Linked DNA regions of Oryctolagus cuniculus. The protein of the gene in region 1 interacts with the protein of each later gene in a pairwise test. Links are inferred from orthologs where the notes say so. Each region holds a gene or a part of one and is shown in the gene's direction. Other genes may lie near its edges. The genes, in order: SGTA, F11R and SDC4.

Region 1 (7,547 bases):
GCACCGTGGACACCGGGCCGGGGGCGGGCGGGCAAGCCCACCGCCTCCCTCCGGCGCTGCGCTGCCCGGGCAGACCCTTCCCCCTCCGAGCTCTCTGAGCCCGGGGTCGCTTGGACGCTGCCGCCCGCGCCGTCGGAGGGGGAGCGCGCCTCGGCGGGTGCCCGGAGCGCGTGGGCGACGTCTCGTCCTGGTCCGATGTTGGGGTGGGGGGTTGTCCTGCGTCCCCCTGGGAGCTGGGGTGTCAGCCTGTCCCGGGGTCGTTTTGGGGGGGGCCATGCGTGGTGCCGGGGCAGGGGGTGCACCCCGTGTGCCGTCTTGCGGTGCCCAGGGCATAGCCTGGGGGTGGCCCCGAGCCTCCCTGGTGCTCAGGGTGTGTGCGGGTTTATGCGGAGGGGGAAGACGGGCCCATGGGAGTGGCGGCTCCGAGCCCGCCTGCCTGGGTTCGGGGCTCCGGGCCGTGTCCGTCTTTCTGTGTAATGGGGAGCCTGGTCGCCACCAGCCCGGAGGCTGAGCAGGCCCGGGAGCCACAGTTTTTGTGAACAGAATCCGCCCCCCCATGGCCACGCTCCTCCCTCGGGCACCCTCCGGCCGAGGCTGGAACCGCAGTGTCGTGACCTCTGGCCCAAGGATATGAGGGTTCCTGGGAGGGCGAGTGACCCCCGCGGGGACTGCTCTGCCCAGCCCGGGCCCCTGGGGAGCTGCAGCCGCACTCGTGCCCGGCCCGGCCCGAGTGGGGGAGGCAGGCAGGCGTGGGGGACCCAGGAGACCTCCCGGGAGCTCCCAGGTTTGGACGGAGCAGGTGCAGGGGTTCCGGCCCGTGGGACGGCGGGGGCGTCGCCAGAGCTCGGGGGGCTGCGGCTGGAGCGTGCGGACGCCCGGGTTTCTCTCCTGGGGACGCTGCGGGACTGGGTGGCGCCCGGAGCCCCCGGGAGGACCCCGCGTCTGCCCGCACTCCGCGCGGAGGCACCGCTGCCTCCCGGGAACACAGCGGGGCTCCCGCGGGGCGTGGCTACGCCTCCAGGGTGGCGGAGGGGCGGGGCCACGAGTCCACGGGGGTCCCCGCGCTCAGCACTGCAGGGGAGGGGGGCAGCGAGCGGCGGCTGCCGTGTCCGGGTTCTGGCGGCAGGATGGGGGGTAGAGTCAGCGGAAGGGGGCTCGGAGCAGCCCACGCGGGACCCGTCTCTGGGACCCGGCGGCCCACCCTGGCCTCTGCCTCCGCGCCCCAGCCCAGGCCTCGCGGTGGCCTTTGGAGGAGGCGTGGCCGCCACTGCGTGCCGTCCCCCCCACCCCGCTGCCCCCGGCCAGAGCCCACAGGCTGCCATTGTTCCGCGGGCACCGGGGGCGGCGCTGGCCGCCTGCTCGGCCAGCCTGGCGGGTGTGCACTGAGTCCCGGGTCCCGCCCTCCCCCGGATAGGGGTCCTCGGGCGGCGGGCGCGCCTCGCTGACCCTCGCTGACGGGCGGCCTCTCTTCTCTGGCCAGTGGCGCTCAGCTGGGGCTGGCGGGGGCGGTCCGCGGCTGTCACGGCCGGGGCTGTTCCTGGCACGGAGGGAGCACAGCCCGGGGCGCCGCTCCCCGGCCCGGAGGCCCGCCCTGCGCACGCGTGACTGCAGAGGGGGGCAGGTGTGAGGGTCAGGCAGCCCCCCCCGGAGTGAGGTCAAGTGTGTGCAGCGCCCGGGGCGTCAGTGGAATCCCCGAGACCCAGGGGTCTCATGGGGCGAGCTGGGGGCGCCGCTCAGCCTCGTGCAGGGCAGGGGCCCCGCCCCCATTCCAGAAAGGCCAGGCCGCCGGACCGCCCACGCCTCGCAAGGCCAGGGACGGCGAGGGGGACCGGGGCCCCCGGGGCGCGGGCAGGGGGCAGCCAGCGACCAGGGCCCGTCTCTCCAAGGTGGGGGCAGGAGAGGCCTGGGGCGCGGTGGGGGTGGGCGGTGTTCCGGCAGGGGGTGGCGAGCGCAGAGGCGCGGAGGCTCACCCGAGGGGGGAGGCGGCCTCTTGGTTTTCTGACCCCCGGGACCCCCTCATGGCTCAGGTGAGGGGCAGGGAGCAGCCCCCCGCGCAGGCGCACACCCCCCGGATGGTGCTGGCCCCCCCATGGCTCAGGTGAGAGGCAGGGAGCAGCCCCCCGCGCAGGCGCACACCCCCCGATGGTGCTGGCCCCCCCATGGCTCAGGTGAGGGGCAGGAAGCAGCCCCCCGCGCAGGCGCACACCCCCGGATGGTGCTGGCCCCTGTGTCCGGAGCGCTGAGGTGGGCCCCACAGCGTCCATCGAGGTCCTCGTTTGTCTGCGGGGCGCCGGCCAACTGCTCAGGGGCCCGGCCCCCGACTGTGCCGAGATGGGGCGGAAGCCCCCAGCCTCCCCCAAGCTCCCACCCCCGGGTGGCGGGGAGGGAATTCGATTTCCCAGGACACAGTGGGACGTGGCCTCCTGCCCTCCGCTCCCCTGCCGTCGCCACGCCCCTTCCCGCCTGCGGCCGCCTCCGCCCGTGGACGCCCACAGCACGCAGCCCTGTGTCCGGCCGTACCTCTCGGGCCGCCTGGGCGAGCGCGCGTTCCCTGGGAGAAGCGAGAGCCACTCCCGACCAGCCCAGCGACCACGCGGGACCTGCTGCTGTGTCCCCCGCCACAGGCTGCGCCACCACCCTGCACAGGTGCACGGCGCCCGTAGCCGCTGTGGCACAGCCCCCTGCACGCCGCGGCTTCAGTGGTCGGGGGATGGGGCAGCCGCTGCCCAGGTCCTAGGCCGAGGGCGGCCGCGTCCCCGGCCTGCCCCAGCTGCCGTGGCGGCTGGCGTCCTCGGCGCTCCTTAGCGCTGGACCAGTCCCCCCAGCTCCCTGTCTGTCCCGCGTGCAAAGCTTCGGGTCTTACGGGGCCCGCCCTGGCGACCCAGCCCAGGCAGCCCCTGACGGCACCCGGCACTCGGGGAGGGGCCTGTGAGCGTCCGGCACCCCTCCCGAGGCCGCGTCCTGGCTCGGGGACTCCGGCCCTCCTGGGTGCCGGCCGGGGTGTCCTCCTGCGTCACTTTCATCTGTCGGTGGCCGGACAGCAGAGGCCGGGACTCACTCGGCCCCACCCGTGTGCCCAGCACCGCGCCTCTCCCACTCCCCCCTCAGCCTGGGCCCCCAGGGCACGGTCATAGCGAGAAAGGTCACCCAGCCCTGTGGGCAAGGGCCAGGGAGTGGCCTCTGGGAAGGTGGCCGCCAGCCCAGCCGCGGGGAGCTGGCGGGAGGACAGGAGAGGCGGGACACGGCTGCCGGCCGGCCCCGTGTCCCGTGGACGCCCCGTTCTGCGCTGCACCCGTCACTCGGGGAGTGCGTCGGCTCCTGTCTGAGAGCTCGGCCCGGGCCGCACCTCGCTGTGTGGGCTGGCACAGCGTCCAGCGGCTCCCGGACGGTGTCCAGGGGTCGATGGAGGCTCGGGGGGGGGCAGAGTGGGCCTGGACGCCCCCCCTGCGGGCTGCTCCCTCGCTCGCCTCTCCCCTGCAGAAGCGCGTGTGGCACCGGTGGCCGCAGACGGGGCTGAAGCCCACGGGCTCCCCAGGAGGGGGGGTGGGGCACCGCCCCCAGGTGCTGGGTGAGGGGGGGACGCGGGAACTGGGGGCTGGGGCGGCCGCCGGGGCGTAGGACCAGGTCCCCGGCCCGGGCGCTCCCTGCCCCTCCCGCCGCCTCGCGCTCCGGACGCCCGGGGCTCCCCTGGCCTCGGCTGGGAAGTGGGCGGATCCCCGCACTGGCCCCTCCCCGCGGGGGCGGGATTGGCCGCAGCGCTCTGAGCGGCTGCCCGGCAGCTGGGCCCCGGACTCACGCCCTGCGCTCGGACCCGCAGACGCTGGAAGCCGTCCGGCGTCCCCGTCTCGAGATGGACACCAAGAAGCGCCTGGCCTACGCCATCATCCAGTTCCTGCACGAGCAGCTGCGGCACGGCGGGCTCTCGTCCGACGCCCAGGAGAGCTTGGAAGGTGCCCGCCGCCCTCCCGCCCCGCCCCGCCCCGGCGCTCACCCACGCGGACGCCCGTGCCCCCTGCAGGGGCACCCACGCCCCCGGCCCCTCCAGCCGGGGCCGGCTGCTCCCGCCGGCACCAGAGGCGCTCTCCGTGGGGTTTGCATGGCCGGCCCTGGGGCTGTCTGCCCGCTGGGCAGCGCGGTGTGGGCACAGCAGTGGGACGGAAGTGGCCCCCCGCCAGGCCCCTCGTGGAGGAGGCCGGGGCGGACAGTGCCCGCGGGATGCCCCTGACTGCCGAGTGCGCTGGGCGGGCCGGGTGGGGGTTCTGGCGCGGACCCGTCCTGAGCTGGATCCAGCACCCCCCCCCCCCCGCCGTGTGCGGCAGGGCCGAGCCCCCACACCGGGAGCCCCAAGTCACCACTGTGTCCTTGCTGTGCCCACCGCCCTCGGTGCCCTGGGCCCGTGTCCCGCCTGGGGTTGATGGGAGCTGGGGGACCCCCACCCGTCCTTTGTGAAAAAAAGCCAAAGCCGCGGCAGCAAAGCAGGCCCCGCCCAGGCATGCGGTCAGCGAGGCCTCTGTCCCCACAGTCGCCATCCAGTGCCTGGAGACGGCTTTCGGGGTCACGGTGGACGACAGCGACCTGGCGCTGCCCCAGACCCTGCCGGAAATCTTTGAAGCGGCCGCCACCGGCAAGGTGAGCCCGGGGCCACCCGGCCCCCATTCCCCAGCCTCAGAACAGCGGCAGGGGGCGCGGTGGGCTCTCCCTGGGCAGGAGAGGGGCGGGGGAGGGTGTGCGCCCTGACCTGGTCCGGGCAGCAGGGGGCGCCGTGGGCTCTCCCTGGGCGGGGAGGGTGTGCGCCCTGACCTCAGCCGGGCAGCAGGGGGCGCTGTGGCTCTCCCTGGGCGGGGAGGGTGTGCGCCCTGACCTGGTCCGGGCAGCAGGGGGCGCCGTGGGCTCTCCCTGGGCGGGGAGGGTGTGCGCCCTGACCTCAGCCGGGCAGCAGGGGGCGCCGTGGCTCTCCCTGGGCGGGGAGGGTGTGCGCCCTGACCTCTGCCGGGCAGCAGGGGGCGCCGTGGGCTCTCCCTGGGCGGGGAGGGTGTGCGCCCTGACCTCTGCCGGGCAGCAGGGGGCGCCGTGGGCTCTCCCTGGGCGGGGAGGGTGTGCGCCCTGACCTCTGCCGGGCAGCAGGGGGCGCCGTGGGCTCTCCCTGGGCGGGGAGGGTGTGCGCCCTGACCTCTGCCGGGCAGCAGGGGGCGCCGTGGGCTCTCCCTGGGCGGGGAGAGTGTGCGCCCTGACCTCGGCCGGGCAGCAGGGGGCGCTGTGGCTCTCCCTGGGCGGGGAGGGTGTGCACCCTGACCTCGGCCGGGCAGCAGGGGCGCGGTGGGCTCCCCTGGCCGGGGAGGGTCTGAGCCCTGACCTTGGCCGCAGCAGGAGACGCAGCCCGAGCCGAGGAGCCCCGAGCGGACCCCGCCCTCGGAGGAGGACTACGCGGAGGCAGAGCGCCTCAAAACCGAAGGTGGGCGGGGACGAGGGGAGGGGGCGGGGTTAGCCCAGGTGTGGAGACGCGGAGCCCCCGGCTGCCCGGATCCCCGGGCCCACCGCAGTGCTGCCCCGTGCCAAGGTCACCGCAGCTGTGGCAGCCTTGGCGGGGCAGCGGCCCCAGCGTCTGTCCGCACGTGGGGGAGCGTGGTCGCCGCGCAGCCAGGAGCGAGCGAGGCTCCGACGCTCCCTGCGTGCAGGGCCCCGCGGACGTCGCGCCGGGGGCAGTGGGCAGGGCCTGGGGGGAGCTGAGCGTCCGGAGGCGCTGTGCCCCGGGCGGGTGGGCGCCCCCAGGGCCGCGAGCTGTGCCGCGGGGCAGCGGGCCTGTCTCCCTCGTCCCCAGGGAACGAGCAGATGAAGGGGGAGAACTACGAAGCCGCCGTGCACTTCTACGGCAAAGCCATCGAGCTGAACCCGGCCAACGCCGTCTACTTCTGCAACAGGTGCGCGCGGGGGGCGTCGGGGCCGCTAGGGGTCGGTGGTCCAGCTGCGCACAGGACGCCGAGCCGGGGAGGGGTCAGAGCGCGGAGGGGTCAGAGTGGGGAGGGGTCAGAGCGGGGAGGAGTCAGAGCGGGGAGGGGTCAGAGCGGGGAGGGGGTCGGGGGGGAGGGGTCAGAACGGGGAGGGGTCAGAGTGGGGAGGGTGTCAGAGCGGGGAGGGGGTCGGGGGGGAGGGGTCAGAACGGGGAGGGGGTCGGGGGGAGGGGTCAGGCCGGGCAGGTGCTCCAGAGCCGGGCAGCGTCCCGTGTGCACCGAGCCCCCCCTCGGCCTGGGCGGGGTCACGTGCACCCCACGGACCGACCCGGTGCCTGGAAAGCTCCCGACTGAAGCGTTTGGGTCACGCGTGTGACACTGCGAGTGTCCGGCCCAGCGGTTCAGACGGAGGGCCTGGCCCGGCTCCCTGCTCCGGAGGGCCCAGTGCTCGGGTCCCTGCTGCCCACGGGAGCCCCGGGAGCGCCCCCCACCCCGCTGCAGCTCGGCCGTGTTCTCTGGTCTCGGGGCGTGTCCGCGCTCTCGCCGGGGCAGCCGGGCCGGCTGTGCCCCCGCACTCTGAGCGTTTGTGTGGTTCGGGGCTCCTTGGAGAGGCCCCGCACCCACGGTCGCCATGGGTGGGGGCCCCCTCGTGACCCTCGTCTCTGGCTGGGCCCGTCCCACGCATCGAGCCACCTCTGTGACGTGGGCGGGTTCCACACGGCCCAGCCTCGGTTCTGGCGTCCCCGGTTCTGGGCGGCGTCCCCGAGAGGGTCAGGGCCAGCTCCGCTTCTCTCTGCAAGTTTATTTCATGTATCTGAAAGGCAGAGTCACAGGGAGGTGGCCGCAGCGGCCAGGGCTGGGCCAGGCTGAAGCCAGGAGTCCATCCGGGTCTCCCACGCGGGTGCAGGGGCCACCTTCCGCTGCTTCCCCCGGCCACAGCAGAGCCGGATGGGAAGTGGAGCAGCCGGATTCGAACCAGTGCCCACGGGGGGTGCTGGTGTCACTGTGCGGGCTCCTCTGTGCTTTCTGGATGGGAGTGCGGGGGTGGGACTAGAACCCGGTCACGGACGGCAGCCAGGCCCCCCCACGGCTGTGCGCGGTGCACTCCCGCTGCAGCCCCCTCGGCGGGGTGAGCGCACGGGGTCCCCGGGACCACACGGGGCGTGGCAAGCTGGGGCTGCCGCCTAACGGACCCCGCACGGTCGTGACAGCTGGGAGGTGGCTGAGCAGGGTCCTGCTGCTGGCCTCCCCGGCCCTCGAGCGTCTGCCCGCTGGACTTGTGGCTCCATGGCCGGCCCCTGGGACAGCCTCGCCACGGCCCGCTTTCCAGATGGGGCGCTGAGGCTGCGCCCCGACCGCCCCTGCCTGTCCCCCCCAGAGCCGCAGCCTACAGCAAGCTGGGCAACTACGCGGGCGCCGTGCAGGACTGCGAGCGCGCCATCGGCATAGACCCGTCCTACAGCAAAGCCTACGGCCGCATGGGGTGAGTGCCCCCCGGGACCTCCCCTCGCTCCTTTCCCAAGCGAGCTGGGCAGTGCCAGGGCTCCTCACAAATGCCAGAGAACCGGCTCCTCCCAGGGAAGTCCTAGGAGCTGGGAG
Region 2 (7,547 bases), on another chromosome or scaffold:
ATCCCATGTGATCACGGGTTCAAAACCCAGCTGCTCCACTTCAAATCCAGCTCCCTGCTAATGCTCCTGGGAAAGCAGCGTAGGATGACCCAAGTGCATAGGCCCCTGCACCCACGTGGGAGACCCGGATGAAGCTGGCTTTGGCTTTGCTCAGTCTGAATCATTGCAGCCGTTTGGGGAGTGAACCAGCAGGGGACAAAGATCTCTCCTCACCCTTGAATAAATAAATAGATCTTTTTTAAAAAGTATGCCATTTTGTTACATAGTTTGTCTCCATTAAACCGACGGCAGTTCTGAGGAACAGCTGTATTTACCAGACAAGAGAAGGGTATAGAACACAAGGGATGCAGGAGGAAGCCTCTGGCACTTCAGCTCTGTCATTTCCTTGCTCTGAAACCTCGGGCCAACCACTGAGCCTTTTTTTTTTTTTATTTTAACTTTTATTTAATGAATATAGATTTCCAAAGTACAGCTTATGGATTACATTGGCTTCCCCCTCCCCCAATGACTTCCCTCCCACCCGCTACCCTCCCCTTTCCCGCGCTCTCTCCCCTTCCATTCTTATCAAGATTAATTTTCAATTTTCTATATATACAGAAGATCAGTTTAGTATACATTAAGTAAAGCTTTCAACAGTTTGCACCCACATAGAAACACAAAGTGAAAAATACTGTTTGAGTACTAGTTATAGCATTAAATCTCAATGTACAGCACATTAAGGACAGAGATCCTACATGAGGAGTAAGTGCACAGTGACTCCTGTTGTTGACTTAACAAATTGACGCTCTTGTTTATGGCATCAGTAATCTCCCTATGCTCCAGTCATGAGTTTCCAAGGCTATGGAAGCCTTTTGAGTTCTCCGACTCTTATTTAGACAAGGTCATAGTCAAAGTGGAAGTTCTCTCCTCCCTTCAGAGAAAGGTACCTCCTTGTTTGAAGACCTGTTCTTTCCACTGGGATCTCACTCACAGAGATCTTTCATTTAGGTCCTTTTTTTTTTTTTTTTTAATGCCAGAATGTCTTGGCTTTCCATGCCTGAAATACTCTCATGGCAACCACTGAACCTTTGAGACATTTAGTTTCCTTGTTTGTGAAATGGGAGAAGTAATAGTTATCAGCACAAATTCACAGTGTTGTCATGTCAGATGGAAATAAACGTATTTATTTATTTTTGAAGATTTACTTTATTTATTTAAAAGGCAGAGTTGCAGACAGGTTACTCCCTGAATGGCCACACTGCCTGGGGCTGGGCCAGGCTGAAGCCAGGAGCCTGTAACTCCATCTGGGTTTCCTGTGTGTCCTTGGATCATTTTCTGCTGCCTTCCCAGGCGTATTAGTTGGGAGCTGGATTGGAAGTGGAGCAACTGGGACTTGAACTGATGCTCAATGGGGGCTGAGCAGCTTAAACCGCTGTGCCACAACGCTGGCCCCTGAAGTAAAGGTATTTTGAAGCGTTGTCTAGATGTAATGCCAACGGAGAGGGAAGAAGAACCCAAAACTTTACGGAGCATCTGGTTCAGACCTTCACCTTCAGATGCAGAAGGGGGTCTCAGGTCAGGAGGCCGTGGTTAGTGAATAACGAGAAAATGTGCTTGATGCACGCAGATGTGGGCATTGCACCGGTCTTTATGCACTGCTCTAGGAAGCCAGGACTCTGACTTACAGCTGCAAATGAAAGCATACTTCTTAGATTTGAGTTGTGAAAACATGAACGAGGGTAATTGTGTAAGTGCAGTTTTGTGGCCACATTGTGTGGTTCCAGAATCTTCTGCCATTGGTTCATTTTTTTTTTTTTTTTTTGTTTAAGATTTATTTATTTATTTGAAAGAGTTACAGAGAGGCACAGGTAGAGAGAGAGAGGGAGAGAGGGGTCTTTCAACCACTGGTTCATTCCCCAAATGGCCACAATGGCTGGAGTTGGGCTGACCCAAAGCCAGGAGCCAGGAGCTTCCACTGGGTCTCCCACGTGGGTGCAGGGGCCCAAGGACTTGGGCCATCTTCTGCTGCTTTCCCAGGCCATAGCAGAGAGCTGGATTGGAAGTAGAATAGCCGAGACATGAACCGGTGCCCATGTGGGATGCTGGCGCCACAGGTGGAGGTTTAACCTACTAAGCTACAGCACCAGCTCCTTTTTAAAGAAGCTTAAATTCTACGATTTGCCTCCTGTGACATGCACAGGCACAGGAGCTCTTCAAACCAGATCCCTCCAAGAATGAAGGCCCTACTGCCCCAGCTGCTGGAAATACTGCCAAAAGAAGGCCCTCCGCTATCAGCCCTCTTCTTCCGGGTCTTCCATGCTGGTGTAGGGGCCCAAGCACTTGGATCATCTACTGCTTTCCCAGGCCATAGCAGAAAGCTGGATAGGGAGTGTAGCAGCCGGGACTCAAACCGGTGCCCATATGGGATGCCGGCACTGTAGGCGCTGGGTTTACTCATTGCATCACAGTGCTAGCCCCATGTCATTGGTTCTTATTGTGTTACATATGTGGGGACCTCCCCCTCTTGTGGACCCCATGCCCATCCCCCTTCTTATTTTATTAGCCTCCTGGCTCCTCACTTCCTCTCTCCACTCCCACACCACAGCACCGTTTCTTTTAAAGGTTTATTTATTTACTTTGGAAGAGTTGTAGAGAGAGAGGGAAAGAAAGAGAGAGCTTCTGCCTGCTGTTTCACGTCCCAGATGGCTGCAATGGCCAGTGCTGGACCAGGCCAAAGCCAAAAGCCAGAAGCTTCTTCCAGGTCTCCCACATGGGTGCAGGGGCCCAAGCACTTGGGCCATCTTTTGCTGCTTTCCCAGGCCACAGCAGAGAGCTGGAAGGCAGTGGGAAAGGTGGGACCTGAGCCAGCGCCCATGTGGGATTTGCCTGCTATGCCACGACGCCGCCCAGCACCTTTTCTCTTCTTTCTCTGTTTGGCAGGTGGGAGGTTCTCACGAGCTGCTGGAGCCCACTTCCAGTCCTGGCTCCACCTCGGACTAGCACTTTTTTTTTTTTTTTTTTTGACAGGCAGAGTGGACAGTGAGAGAGAGAGACAGAGAGAAAGGTCTTCCTTTTTGCCGTTGGTTCACCCTCCAATGGCCGCCGCGGCCAGTGCACTTGCGGCCGGCGCACTGTGCTGATCTGAAGCCAGGAGCCAGGTGCTTCTCCCGGTCTCCCATGGGGTGCAGGGCCCAAGCACTTGGGCCATCGTCCACTGCACTCCCGGGCCACAGCAGAGAGCTGGCCTGGAAGAGGGGCAACCGGGACAGAATCCGGCGCCCCGACCGGGACTAGAACCCGGTGTGCCGGCGCCGCAAGGTGGAGGATTAGCCTACTGAGCCGCGGTGCCGACCTTTTTTTTTTTTTTTAAACTGCTATTAGTTTCAGTTCCTTGTGTAAAATTGGGATAATAATACTTGTCCTGCTGACATGTGAAAACCCTCTGGGAAGCACCCAGCGGGCCCCAAATGCTGAGTATCATCCTCATTCCTTCTGCTCCTCCTTTGCCCACCCTCCTTGCCTTGCCTGCAGCATCGCAGCTTCCTCCCAGGATTGCTTTGACAAGTGCAGGGGTCCCAGCACGGGGCCCATCTTCTACTGCTTTTCCAGGCCATAGCAGAGAGCTGGATTGGAAGTGGAGCAGCTGGGTCTTGAACCGGCGCCCATATGGATGCCGGCGCTACAGGTGGCGGCTTTACCTGCTGCTCCACAGCACCAGCCTCAGCTCGAATCTCTTGACTCCTTTCCCCTGAGGATCTCGGCTGAGAAGCCCTGTTCTGTGTGCTGATGGGGCCCACCTCTTTCCTTCTCAGGTTCACTGGCGCTGGGCAAGGGGACAGTCTACACTTCGGAACCTGAAGTCAGAGTTGCAGAGAATAATCGTGAGTTGGGAGGGGCTGTGGAGCAGGGGCAGGGTGGGTGTGAGGTGAGCGGGTTCCAGGGCCAGGGGTTGGGATCATTCTCCGTCTTCTCCTTTCGACCCTCTGCAGCGGCAAAGTTGCCCTGCACTTACTCTGGCTTCTCCAATCCCCGTGTGGAGTGGAAGTTTGTCCAAGGTACAACCACCAGCCTTGTCTGCTATAACAGCAAGATCACAGGTGAGTTGTCCCGCTTCCTTCCTCATTGCCAAGGTTGGGGAATCATTGATCCATGCCTGGGTCTCCCTGGCCTTCCCCTTCTGCCTCCTGGAGGAAGAAGAGGACCTACGTACACCTTGGGTCCCACCTTCCTTGGTTCTCCTGTTCTCTGTTCACTCTGCTCTGCCTTTGCTTCCTTGCTCCTGGCAGCTTCCTATGAGGATCGAGTCACCTTCTCACCGAGCGGCATCACCTTCCGTTCCGTGACTCGGAAAGACACTGGGACGTACACATGCATGGTCTCTGAGGACGACGGCAACAACTATGGGGAGGTCACCATCCAGCTCACTGTGCTTGGTATGTGCACAGTGTTTTCGACTGTTTCCCTAAGCCCGCGTCAGACCCTGCTGAGCTCTGGAACTCGTTGATGACGAAGAGGAGATGAGCCCTTGGCTGGATGCAGATTAGGGGCCTGCCAAGGGAGGGCGGCCACAGGGTTTGGATCGGGGTGTCATCCTAGGCAGCTACTTGGACTCGGGCAACACCCCCAACCCCTCCATTGTGTTCAGCACCTCTTTCCTTCTCTCCCTCCCAGTGCCTCCATCCAAGCCTACAGTCAACATTCCCTCCTCCGCCACCATTGGGAACCGGGTGGTACTGACCTGCTCAGAACAAGATGGTTCCCCGCCCTCTGAATACACCTGGTTCAAGGATGGGATGCTGATGCCTACAGATCCCAAGAACAACCGTGCCTTCATCAACTCTTCCTATACTCTGAACCAAAAGTCAGGGGAGCTGGTATGGATGGGGTGGGGGTGGAAGATGTATGAGAGGCACAGTTGCAGAACCCCTGAACAAGCAACAAAGTGGACTTGGAGTCAGGATCAGGGGATACTTGGGAGAGGTTCTTGGCTTTTTCAAGCAGAAAGCCAATTTGTTTCTAGGTCTTTGATCCCTTGTCAGCCTTTGATACTGGAGAATACAGCTGTCAGGCACAGAATGGATTCGGGACACCGGTGATGTCAAATGCTGTGCGCATGGAAGCTGGTGAGTGAGAGTGTGGTTGGTGCTTGCATTCAGTCCTTGAGTGGCTATGTTATTGGTACCACAGGTAAGCACCCAGGCACCTGACCTCGTGTTGTGTCTCACAGTGGAGCTGAATGTAGGGGGCATTGTGGCTGCTGTCCTGGTCACGCTGATTCTCCTTGGAGTCTTGATCGCAGGCATCTGGTTTGCCTATAGCCGAGGCTACTTTGACAGTGAGTTTGGCTCTCCTTTGTGTTGTCTCCATCCCAGGCATGGGTTCATGGGTGCTCTCCGAGCCCTGACCCTGACACTTTGTCCCTGGATATGGGTGTCTCCCCCCCTCCCCAGGAGCATGGGTCACCTGATCTAGCATGTATCAGATGCCCCGTGCTAGTCCCCTCATTGTGTGTGCCATGCTGTCTTGTACCCTGCTGACACTCAAGATCCCATTTTTTTTTTTTTCTCTTCTAGGAACAAAGAAAGGGTGAGTGACATGTTGTCCTGGGATTGTCGGAGGTGAAAACGTGGATGCATGTGGTTTGCAGCATGGGCCCAGGGGGATGGGCTGGAGAAGGAGACAGCCAGCCTCGGGGGAAGACCTTGGGATTTCTACCCCTGCTTGCTGTGACCCTGGCCTTGTCCTGTCTCCCTCTGTGCACACCTCTCTGCTGAGCACTTCTGTAAAGTTCTTGGTTCTGCCCTCTGAAGTTGGAGGGGAGGGGGTGGCTCTGCACCTGGGGACCTGAGTGTCTCCATCTTCCATCTTCATCTGCAGGACCTCCAGCAAGAAGGTGATCTACAGCCAGCCCACTGCTAGAAGTGACGTGAGTACACTGCCCTGGGGAAGGGGACCTCTGCACACACACGCACACCCCCACACACTCCCAGGGAGTGAGGGGGTTCCCAGCCTGTGTGTGCCTGTGTTTGGGGGATTGTAGGCTAAAGAAAACTAGAGAGAGTTGACTGGATGTTTTCTCTCCCCAGGGCGAATTCAAACAGACCTCGTCATTCCTGGTGTGACCCTGGTCTGGCTCCCGCCTGGTCCTGTGCTTGCCTTACTCCGGTGCTACTAGACTCTAGCCCCTGGTGTCTGTAGTTTTCACAGGCCCTCTACTAGCATCTCAGTTAGGATGTGTTTTTTAATGATGTCAGCTATGTGCCCCTTCTCCCTGTACACACTCTCTCTCAATCCTGCTGCTGCCGAGTGGCCTGGGATTGTAGAAAATTCGTATTCCTCAGCCTATGAGGGGTCAGACAGGAATCCCGGCTGTGCCTATTAACTCCCTTCTACGTAGACAGCCAGAGGGGTGGGGCTTCCTGAAACCCGCCATCGCTACCCAGCTGGGCCGCAGTGGCTTCTGAATCGGTTTCCCTCCCCATGGAGAGCCAGTGCCAGCCATTCTGGAGTGGGGGTCGGAGACTGGAGCGGCTGGAACCGTTGTTTGGTGATGACGTTAAATCTCCTCCATCTCTGGAGCCCACTGTTCTGTCTCCTCACCGGAAGTGCCACGGGGTCCTGTCCTCCGTCTGAACAAAAGCAGACTGGCGCTGTGTCCGTAGGAAAGCCGAAGCACAGTAAACCTTCAGGGGACACGGAGTGGAAAAGATTTAAAACCACAGCTCTGAAGAAAAGCTGGAGCTGGTAGCCCAGACCGTCACCCTTCCCTTGGCTGGAACAACTGGACAGAGCCCTCTGAGACTGTGTGTGTCTGTGGGGCCGTGTGTGGCAGCTGAGCCCGTGTGTGCGTGTGTGTGTGTGTGTGTGTGTGTGTGGTCTTAGCCAAATGCTGAAATTGGATGGATGTTGGGAGGTATCTTAGCTCTTTGGTGAGATTGCGTTTCTGTGCGTTTGTCTTAGCTGGATGTTGGAAATAAAAAGTTGACTTGTCGAAGGTTCTTTTTGTGGGAAGCTGGAGAAAGGAGATCTTTGAGGGTCCCTGAGCTCCTTTGTTCAAACAGGAAAATGCCTTCCCTGCAGCCGGGGGCTGGTTCCCAGGACCCTGTCCTGCCTCGCTTCCTGTTTCCTATCTCAAGGCAGAGCTGCTTCCTGGAGCACGCGTTCCAGAACCCTCTGTGACCAGGCCTTCTGCTCGGCCTGCTCAGCCAGGTGAGAGGAGAGGGTGCCCCCTCCCTCTTCCCGCCCAGCCAGGTGCATTAATGGACTTCTCTAGGGCTGCCGGCAGAGCTGCTTTGGGGCCGAGGCAGGGAGTTCCTCAGATCCTTTGGAGAACTTTAGTGTGAAGTAGTAACTGATGCTTTGTCTACTGGGATGGGGTTCAGGAGAGACTGAAGCCTCCTAAGCAAGGCAAGCCTGGCCATCATTGCTTTCTTCTTCCCATCTAGAACCTTCTCTGCCCCTAAATTTCTGTTTCCCCATCTTCTACAATCCCTCAATCTATTTATTATGTAGCAAGAGAGCAAAGAAAGGGTCCTGTTGACTATCTTTTATTTCTTTCTGTGGCACGT
Region 3 (7,647 bases), on another chromosome or scaffold:
AAGCTGCTGACACTGACATCCCATATGGGCACCCATTTGAGCTTCAGCTGATCCACCTCCAATCCAGCTCCTCGCTAATGCACCTGGGAAAGCAGTGGAAGATGGCTCAAGTGCTTGGGTCACTGCACCCACATGGGAGATGCAGATGGAACTCCAGACTCCTGGCTTCAACTTGGCCCAGCTCCAGCTGTTGTGGCCATCTGGGGAGTGAACCAGTAGGTACAAGATTTCTCTGTCTCTGCCTCTTTTCTCTCTGTAACTCTGCCTTTCAAATAAATAAATCTTAAAAAAAGTTGTCAAGCCAGTCTGTAGTGGTTCATGAGGGTCAATTTTTGGGAATTTTCCATGTTGATTGTTAAGGAAATTATTACTTAGAATGAAATTACATAAATGTATAGTTAAATATATTATTTAATTTTTTATTTATTTTCATTTCATTTGAAAGGTAGAAATCTTCCATCTGTTGGCTCATTACCGAAATGCTTGCATAGTCAGGGCTAGGCCAGCCAAAGCCAGGAGTCAGGAACTCCAACTGGGTCTCCCATGTGGGTGGCAGAGCCATCACAGCTGCTTCTCAGGGCGCACATTAATGGGCAGCTGGAATGGAAGCAGAGGTGGGACTCCTACCTGGGCACTCTGATACAGGAATGTCCCAAGCCAGAAGTCCGCTCTGAATAAATTATTTTGAAAACAATGGAAATCCATATTTAGAGCTCACCCCTTTATAATAATCTCACTGCACTTTACTGCTAGCTATGCCCACATTCCTACCTGCATGACCTGTGACATCTCATTAGTAACCTGAGATCAGCCACGGGGGAAGTATTTACACTACAGACTTTGGCAAATGTTACAAAGTTGTCCTCGCTGCTGTCCCCAGCTCAGTGTTAAACACTTAACTGCAGAACACTGGCTGCTGAGTAGCCTGAAACTTTCTGCACTCAGAGAAGCTGGTGGGAACAGAAGGAGTCTTGTTCCAGCAATGTGATGACAGGCAGCTAAAATCCCATAGCGATCTACCATCAAAAACCATTTTTACTTTTTAACAGATTTTTTCATTTATGTGAAAGGCAGAGAACTATCTTCCACCCGCTGGTTCACTCTGCATATGAGGCCCACGTCAGGAGCCTTGAACTTTTGTCCGGTCTCCTACGTGGGTGGCAGGGGCCCAAACACCTGGGCAGGGAGCTGTTTTCAGAAGTGGAACAGCCAGGACAACTGGCGCCCATACGGGATGCCAGCATTGCAGGCGGTGGCTTTACTTGCTATGCCACAATGCCGGCCCCCCAAAATGATGTATTTGTTGACAACTAATTAGGCTCTCCTTCAAGTCTTGTAGAAAGCAAAATTGTCAACCATTTGACTTGCTCCACTTCTGACCCAGCTCTCTGCTATGGCTTGGGAAAATAGAAGAAGGGAAAACAGCAGAAGATGGCCCGAATCCTTGAGCCCCTGTACCTACGTGGGAGACCCGCAAGAAGCTCCTGGCTCCTGGCTTCAGATAGGCGTAGCTCCAGCCATTGTGGCCATCTGGGGAGTGAACCAGCAGATGGAAGACCTCTCTCTCTCTGCCTCTCCTCTCTGTGTGTAACTCTGACTTTGAAATAAATAAATAAATCTTTAAAAATACTTTTAAAAAATCTTTAAACAAATAAAACCACATTCCAGCATAAGAAATGTAGTGGTCCTTTTCTATGGAGCACTGCCTGCCTCCAGGACCCTGCAGAAGACAAAACCCCCTCTGCTCAAGCACTCGTATTTGCATATAAATTACACACACCAACCAGCATACTTAACTACCTCTAGATTACTTAAAATACCCAGTGCAATGTAAATGTTATGTAAATAATCCTTACATAGTATTGTTTAAGGATTCTGGACAAGAAAAAGATAAAAGGACAAAAAAAAAAAAAAAAAAAAAAAGCAAGCAAGCAAGCAAGCAAGCAAAAAGCCTACACAGTAGGTTAATCCTCCTCCTGCAGCATCCCACATGGGTTCTAGTCCTGGCCGCTCCTCTTCTGATCCAGCTCTCTGCTATGGCCTGGGAAAGCTGTGGAAGATGGCCCAAGTGCTTGGGCCTCTGCACCAGTGTGGGGGATCTGGAGGAAGCTCCTGGCTCCGGATCCACTCAGCTCCAGCCGTTGCGGCCACTTGCGGGGAGTGAACCAGCGGATGGAAGACCTCTCTGTCTCTCCCTCTCACTGTCTGTAACTCTACCTCTCAAATAAATAAATAAATAAAATCTTTAAAAAAAAAAAAAAGCCTAAACATGTTCAAACAAAATCCCTCCCCCCAAATACAGGTGTTTTCCATCAAGTGTTGCATCCTTGGATGAAGAACCGCGATGAGGCGGGTGGGCAGGACGGGGCTATGCATCCTGGTACCCTGATTGATCATAAGAAGACCCCCCCCCCCCCATCTCCAACAGCTCCTGTGCTAGCACTCCCAAGATGCTTTGAGCAGTTCGAATCCTGGCTATTCTCCACCCACTGTGAGGAGATGAGGGCTTCTGTGAAAGGAGAACAGACCAGATCTCAGAGCCGGCAAACCTTCCGGAAAATTCGAAATCTGGAAGACGAAAAAGCCCTTCAAACAGGTCAGGCACCCTGAGGCCAAAGTCTGAGGCCCATCCGGGACTTCAGTACAGCCCCCAGCTTGGAATGCTTTCTCCGTTTTTACATGGTTGGGGGGAAAAGTCAAAAGAATCATTTTTCACACCATGTGAAGGCGATGGGAAATTCAAATTTCAGGGTCCACAGAGAACGTCTTATTAGAAGACCGCCAGGCTCACTCCTCTGAGCGCTGGGGCGGCGCGTGAGCCGGCACGCCGGGGTTTTAGGGTCCGCAGCAGATGGTCAGACCCGCTAGCACTGAAAAAACGCCGCCCTTTGCAGGAGCCGGCAGACCCCCGCTCGCGCCACCGGGGGTCACACTCGGCACGGGAGGTCGGTCGTCCGCCACCCGGCGGCGCGCTGAAGGCTGGTCTACACGGACGAAGCGGGGCCAGTCCTCAGTCCCCGGGCCTCAGTGTCCCCAGCCGTTAAGTGGGGTCTGCCGCAGGCATGTCCAGGGGCTCCGGGAGGGGAGGACTGGGGTTGACTGGGAGCATGGCCGGCACGCACGGGCGGGTCCCTCGGGGTTTCCAGCCCCAACGGGAGGCGCAGCGCCCAGCAAGCTCGGTGTTCGCGGGGGAATTCCGGGCGGGGTGCGGGTGGCGGGGGCGGGGGTGGGCAGGGCCGGGCCTGGCCGGGGCGGGGCCGGCCGCTATAAGTTGGGCCGCGCGCCCGCCCCGGGCCACTCGCTGCAGTCTGCGCGCCCGCCCTGTGCCGCGGTACCATGGCCCCCACTCGCCTGCTTGCGCTGCTGCTGCTGTTCCTCGTCGGCGCCGCCGCAGAGTCGGTAGGTGCTTGGGGACCCCCGGGCCGGGGGAGACGAGCCGGTGTCTCCTTTGTTCCTGCGAGCCTGGGACTGGAGGCGGGGGGCCACGCGGGGGGATGCGCCGCCGCCCCCTGGACGCCGAGGCCGGGCAAACTTGGTTGGAAACTTTGCTCCGGGACTGGCTCCTCCGCGCGCAGTGCGCTCGAAGCTCGTGGCTCTCGCCGCCTGCCCCGGCCGACGTGACTAAGCCGGTGTCAGCGCTCTGCCCCCGCCCCCTCGGGCCTGTCCCGGGACCCCCGGGCAGGCTCGGAGCGCTGAAGCCCCCGCCTCGCGGTCTGCGTGCCGGGAGAGGGCAGCTCTAGAATCCGGGTGGCCTGGGGATCGGAGAGGGGGCTTGCTGCGTGTGCTCCGAAGGGGGGAGGGGTTTCACATGCCGGGGAGCGGGGAGCTGAGCCCGCGCCTCGCTTCTGGACGCAGCCCCGCCGTCGACTTGGGCGTCTCACTTTCGCCATCTGCACACAGGCTGGGCGCGAATGGGGGGAGCCGCTCCGCTTCTTTAGGGTTCCATAGAAAGTTGGGAGTCTGACCTTTCAAGGGCACCCGGGAGGGGCCGCCGAGGCTCGGCGCTTGGTCAGAAGCTGAATCTCTGCCCTCTGCAATGAGACGGTTCGTTTCTGCCCAGCTGGCGCCAACCCCCCCCCCCCCAGGAGGTTGAAGCGCCCCCCTTGACTGGGGTGAGGGGGTGGGGGTAGAAGGCCCCAGAGAGCTCGGAGAAACCTTTCCTTCTCACTTGGCTGGTCTCCCTCGCGCTTTCCTCCCTCAGCCAGGAGAGAGGCAGCCTGGGCTGGGGGCTAGGGCGCGGAGGCCAGAGATGATCCGGGTGAGCCTTGCAGTTTAATCATTAAAGTTAATTGCTTTGAGAGACCTCGGACTACTTAGAGGCAAAGCTGTCTCTGCCTGGCAGGCTGAGGCCACAGCCAGCAGCGCAAATCCCAGGCCCTCGGGGACTTAATCCAGCGTTCAGCCCTCTTAGGGTGCCGGGCACTGTTCTAGTAGCTTTCTAATAGCTCTTTCCTCCAGCAGAATTCCAACAACACCCCACTGTTTACTGTTCTTCCTCTGGTCCTGAAGGAAGAAAGGTTAGTAACTAGCCGAAGGTCACACAGTTAATTAGGGGCTGAATCAATTTAAATGCAGGTGGCCGGTCATTTATCTTAACTTCCAGGCTTCTGCTACTGGGTGGATCCTGGGCAGCTCAGCGCTGGTTTAGAGCCTGTTAGGGTTTTAGGCTGGAAGGCCTCTGGGAATTCTGGGGTGTGACGCCTTCCCAGTCTGAGGGCAATTTTGCCCAAAGGTCAGTGGCTGAGCCAGGACTAGAACCCACGTCCTCAGCCTCCCTGGTGCTATGCACTACACTGGCCCCCAGAGGAAGTGGCTGATGCGAAGCAGGTGGGAAGGTCTTAAAGGGGACTCTGCCTGGGTGAGGGGGCCCTGGAGGGCTGCTGAAGTTGTCAGAGGGGTGGTCACACTCCCGTTTCTCCCCAGGGCTGCTGAGCCGCCAGGTGCTTGGGGTGAGGAGCAGACAGCTGTGTCCCGGGGGCAGTCCGAGGATGTGGTTTGGGGGAGGGCACTGTGGCAGCCCTGCAAAAGGCCACCTATTGGTGGGGGAGAACTCAGCCAGGACAGCTGCTTCCTGAGACAGGTGTCAGTCTCTCATCCTGACCTTAGCGCTCCCCTTCCTGGCTACCGTCATGACCTCCTGCCTCTCACTGGGCTTCCCGGTTTGTCCCCCACCCCCTCAGGCTGTGGCTGCAAAGGGCTTGGGAGAGGTGATCTCCTGTGCCAATTTTTTTTCTTGTTGCAGGTAGAGAAAAGTGAAGCCAGGAAGAAGGGTTTCCCTAATAGCCATTAGGGTTGACTGAGTACTTTGCAAATGCCAGGTCTGGTGCATTTTATCCTCATAAAAGCCCCTAGCATGGTGGGGATTGTATTGTGCCCACTGTCCAGATGAGGGAAAGTGGGACCAACATGGAGTAGCAGAGAGCACCCAGGCCATCTGAATCTCTGACCAGCAGTCCCCTCCCCGAATGCTGTCTGGACCCCTTCCCAGCGTTAGGATGAATGTCTTTTCCTTGGGTGGCCCTCTTCCCCCATACTGCCACAGGTTCCGGGGAGCAGGACCCAGACTGAGTACCCAGCACCCTCTCCTGTCCTGTTTGGCGGGCTTACCATCCCTAAACCTGTTCTTCCTGTCCAGCCGGGAGCCTCCCCCCCCCCCCCCCCCCCCCGATCTGCTTTCTTGCCACTCCCTCTCTGGCCAATTAAAGGCAGCCTTGTTTTGGGAGTCAGCCCCCCACCCCCCATCCCTCAGCAGCCAGAGGGGTGTTAGTGCTCAGGGGCATGGCCCTCTGACTTGGCCACGAGGCCCGGAGGCCCGGGCAGTTCTGAGGAGGTGTCCCCTACCCACCAGATGTACTTGAACTTCAAGACACTTCTGGTCTGCCCGAGAGTCCGCTGCTTGATTGCCCCCAAGTGGGGCTGGGGGCGGAAGTCTTGAGTGGTCCCTGAGAGCCACTGGGACTTCAACTCCTGGGCCTCGAAAGTTATCAAACCCCCAGGCAAATATTTGGAGGGCCCCATGAGGCTGAGGAAGTGGGCTGGTGTTCCCTGTCTATAAAATGGGTGTTTGCGCTGGACGCCTCCCACAGCCCTTGCTAGCTCTGATATTTGATTAATAATTAAGTGCCAATTGCTCAAAAGGGACTGTGGAACCCATAAGAGCATTTAAGGCATTCCCCTACCTTGGAGAAGCTTGTACTTCCCCGGAGAATTAAGGCACACCACCTCATTCTGGCAGGGGGGAGGTGCCCCCTCCCTACCCCCCCCCCCCAGGGCAGGAACTCTGCTCTGTTTGAGTGAAATACCCGTCCTGTAGCTGGTACTTAGGAAATGCTTGCATGAATAACAATTCATGACCGTAACTTCGTGTTTCTCAACGGCGCACTGAGCGTGTGCATTCCGGGTAGGAATGCCTCCCAGTGACACGGAGGCGGGTGTGATGCCCCTTTTTCTGCAAGAAATTGATGCTCTGAGAAATGTGGTGGCTTGGCGAGGTCAGAACCAGGTCTGACAGTGCACGGCGTCTGCCTGAGTGTCCTCCTTGAACGTTGCTGGGTTTGAAGGCAGAGCCACATTTCTGTCCTGCTGGGTGACCTTGAGCATACGGGGCCCGTGTCCCCAACTCTTAAATGAGGAGGGCTGGATACTGCCTCTGAAGGGTTCTTGCTGCCCATTGAGGAGGGGAGAGGCGCTTTCTTGGCCTCCCTGATGAGGCGCTTAAACAAGTCCCAGTCTCTGAAGAGACGTGGGGTGAACATTCAGCTCCTGCCATCCTCCAGCTCCTAGGAACCGAGGGCTTTTCCAAGGACTTGGAGTGCTGAGCGGGTCTGAATGAGGAACTGGGGTAGCCAGGCTGAGCTGCCAGCCCCGGCTCCCTGTGGGGAGGAATTGTCCTTCAGCCTCCCGGACTGGACTGGGGGTGTGTGTGGTTTCGAAATAAATATTTAAAATCGGGGGCAGGGGCTGGACAGTGCTTTGTGAGTCACTGCAGACTGGCAAGCCTTCCTGAGTCACCCACTTCCTTTCATCCTCCTGGCTAATAGGATGGCTGCGTGCTGGCCGTGCAGGACAGGGCTGCTGAGTCTTACCTCGTCCTCTGGATTCCCCGCCCCACCTCCGGCCTTGAGGGAGGGGTCATATAGGAAATGCTCCAATGAAGCCCTCAGCCTTCACAGTCCCTTGCCTGTGGGTGGACCTTGACATTGCACGGAGTTTAGCCAGTCCTCAAAATCCATCTTTAGCCCTCTTGCAGAGCAGGTGGCATTGTCCACCCACCTCCCCCCAGAGCCAACCTGAGGCTGCACCTGGTCTGGGTTCCCAGAGCAAAGCAGGCATGGCTGGGATTTTATCTGACTCCAGGAGCCTCTGTCACCCCCTCCTTGCTTCCTGGGGCTGGCAGGAGGGCACTGAAACAGTGGTTTGGAGTCGGGCAGATCTAACTCCGGCTCTTAATTGCTGGCTCCGTGGCTTTGGACTTGCTGCTCAAGCTCTCCGAGCCCCCTAGCCTCAGGCCTGAGAGGGGGGAGGTGTCTCTTGGTGACAAGGCCCTTCCTTGCCCAGGCCACCTGGACGCCAGGTGCTCTTTTGAGGATTCCACCTGCCCCCCCTCCTGGAAAGCCTCTCACCTCCCCCATAACCGTATCCAACTCC

Evidence for each region.
Region 2: the proteins of SGTA (region 1) and F11R interact in binary tests that used the Homo sapiens proteins (3 or more experiments, as listed by UniProt). The two-hybrid records come from large-scale screens. The link is inferred for Oryctolagus cuniculus from reciprocal best matches to the Homo sapiens genes SGTA and F11R.
Region 3: the proteins of SGTA (region 1) and SDC4 interact in binary tests that used the Homo sapiens proteins (3 or more experiments, as listed by UniProt). The two-hybrid records come from large-scale screens. The link is inferred for Oryctolagus cuniculus from reciprocal best matches to the Homo sapiens genes SGTA and SDC4.

The regions. Positions count from the first base shown.
Region 1 is NC_091447.1:59,201,021-59,208,567, reverse strand, and holds part of SGTA (small glutamine-rich tetratricopeptide repeat-containing protein alpha), read left to right. Parts: intron 1-3,817; 5' UTR 3,818-3,850; coding exon 3,851-3,950; intron 3,951-4,522; coding exon 4,523-4,629; intron 4,630-5,364; coding exon 5,365-5,452; intron 5,453-5,818; coding exon 5,819-5,918; intron 5,919-7,326; coding exon 7,327-7,431; intron 7,432-7,547. UniProt on the Homo sapiens protein: Co-chaperone that binds misfolded and hydrophobic patches-containing client proteins in the cytosol. Mediates their targeting to the endoplasmic reticulum but also regulates their sorting to the proteasome when targeting fails.
Region 2 is NC_091438.1:37,791,791-37,799,337, forward strand, and holds the end of F11R (junctional adhesion molecule A), read left to right. Parts: intron 1-3,791; coding exon 3,792-3,860; intron 3,861-3,968; coding exon 3,969-4,076; intron 4,077-4,265; coding exon 4,266-4,412; intron 4,413-4,650; coding exon 4,651-4,853; intron 4,854-4,999; coding exon 5,000-5,102; intron 5,103-5,206; coding exon 5,207-5,314; intron 5,315-5,552; coding exon 5,553-5,565; intron 5,566-5,856; coding exon 5,857-5,905; intron 5,906-6,065; coding exon 6,066-6,101; 3' UTR 6,102-6,969; downstream 6,970-7,547. UniProt on the Homo sapiens protein: Seems to play a role in epithelial tight junction formation. Appears early in primordial forms of cell junctions and recruits PARD3.
Region 3 is NC_091442.1:13,908,040-13,915,686, forward strand, and holds the start of SDC4 (syndecan-4), read left to right. Parts: upstream 1-3,242; 5' UTR 3,243-3,336; coding exon 3,337-3,399; exon of another isoform or gene 3,400-5,646; intron 5,647-7,647. UniProt on the Homo sapiens protein: Cell surface proteoglycan which regulates exosome biogenesis in concert with SDCBP and PDCD6IP.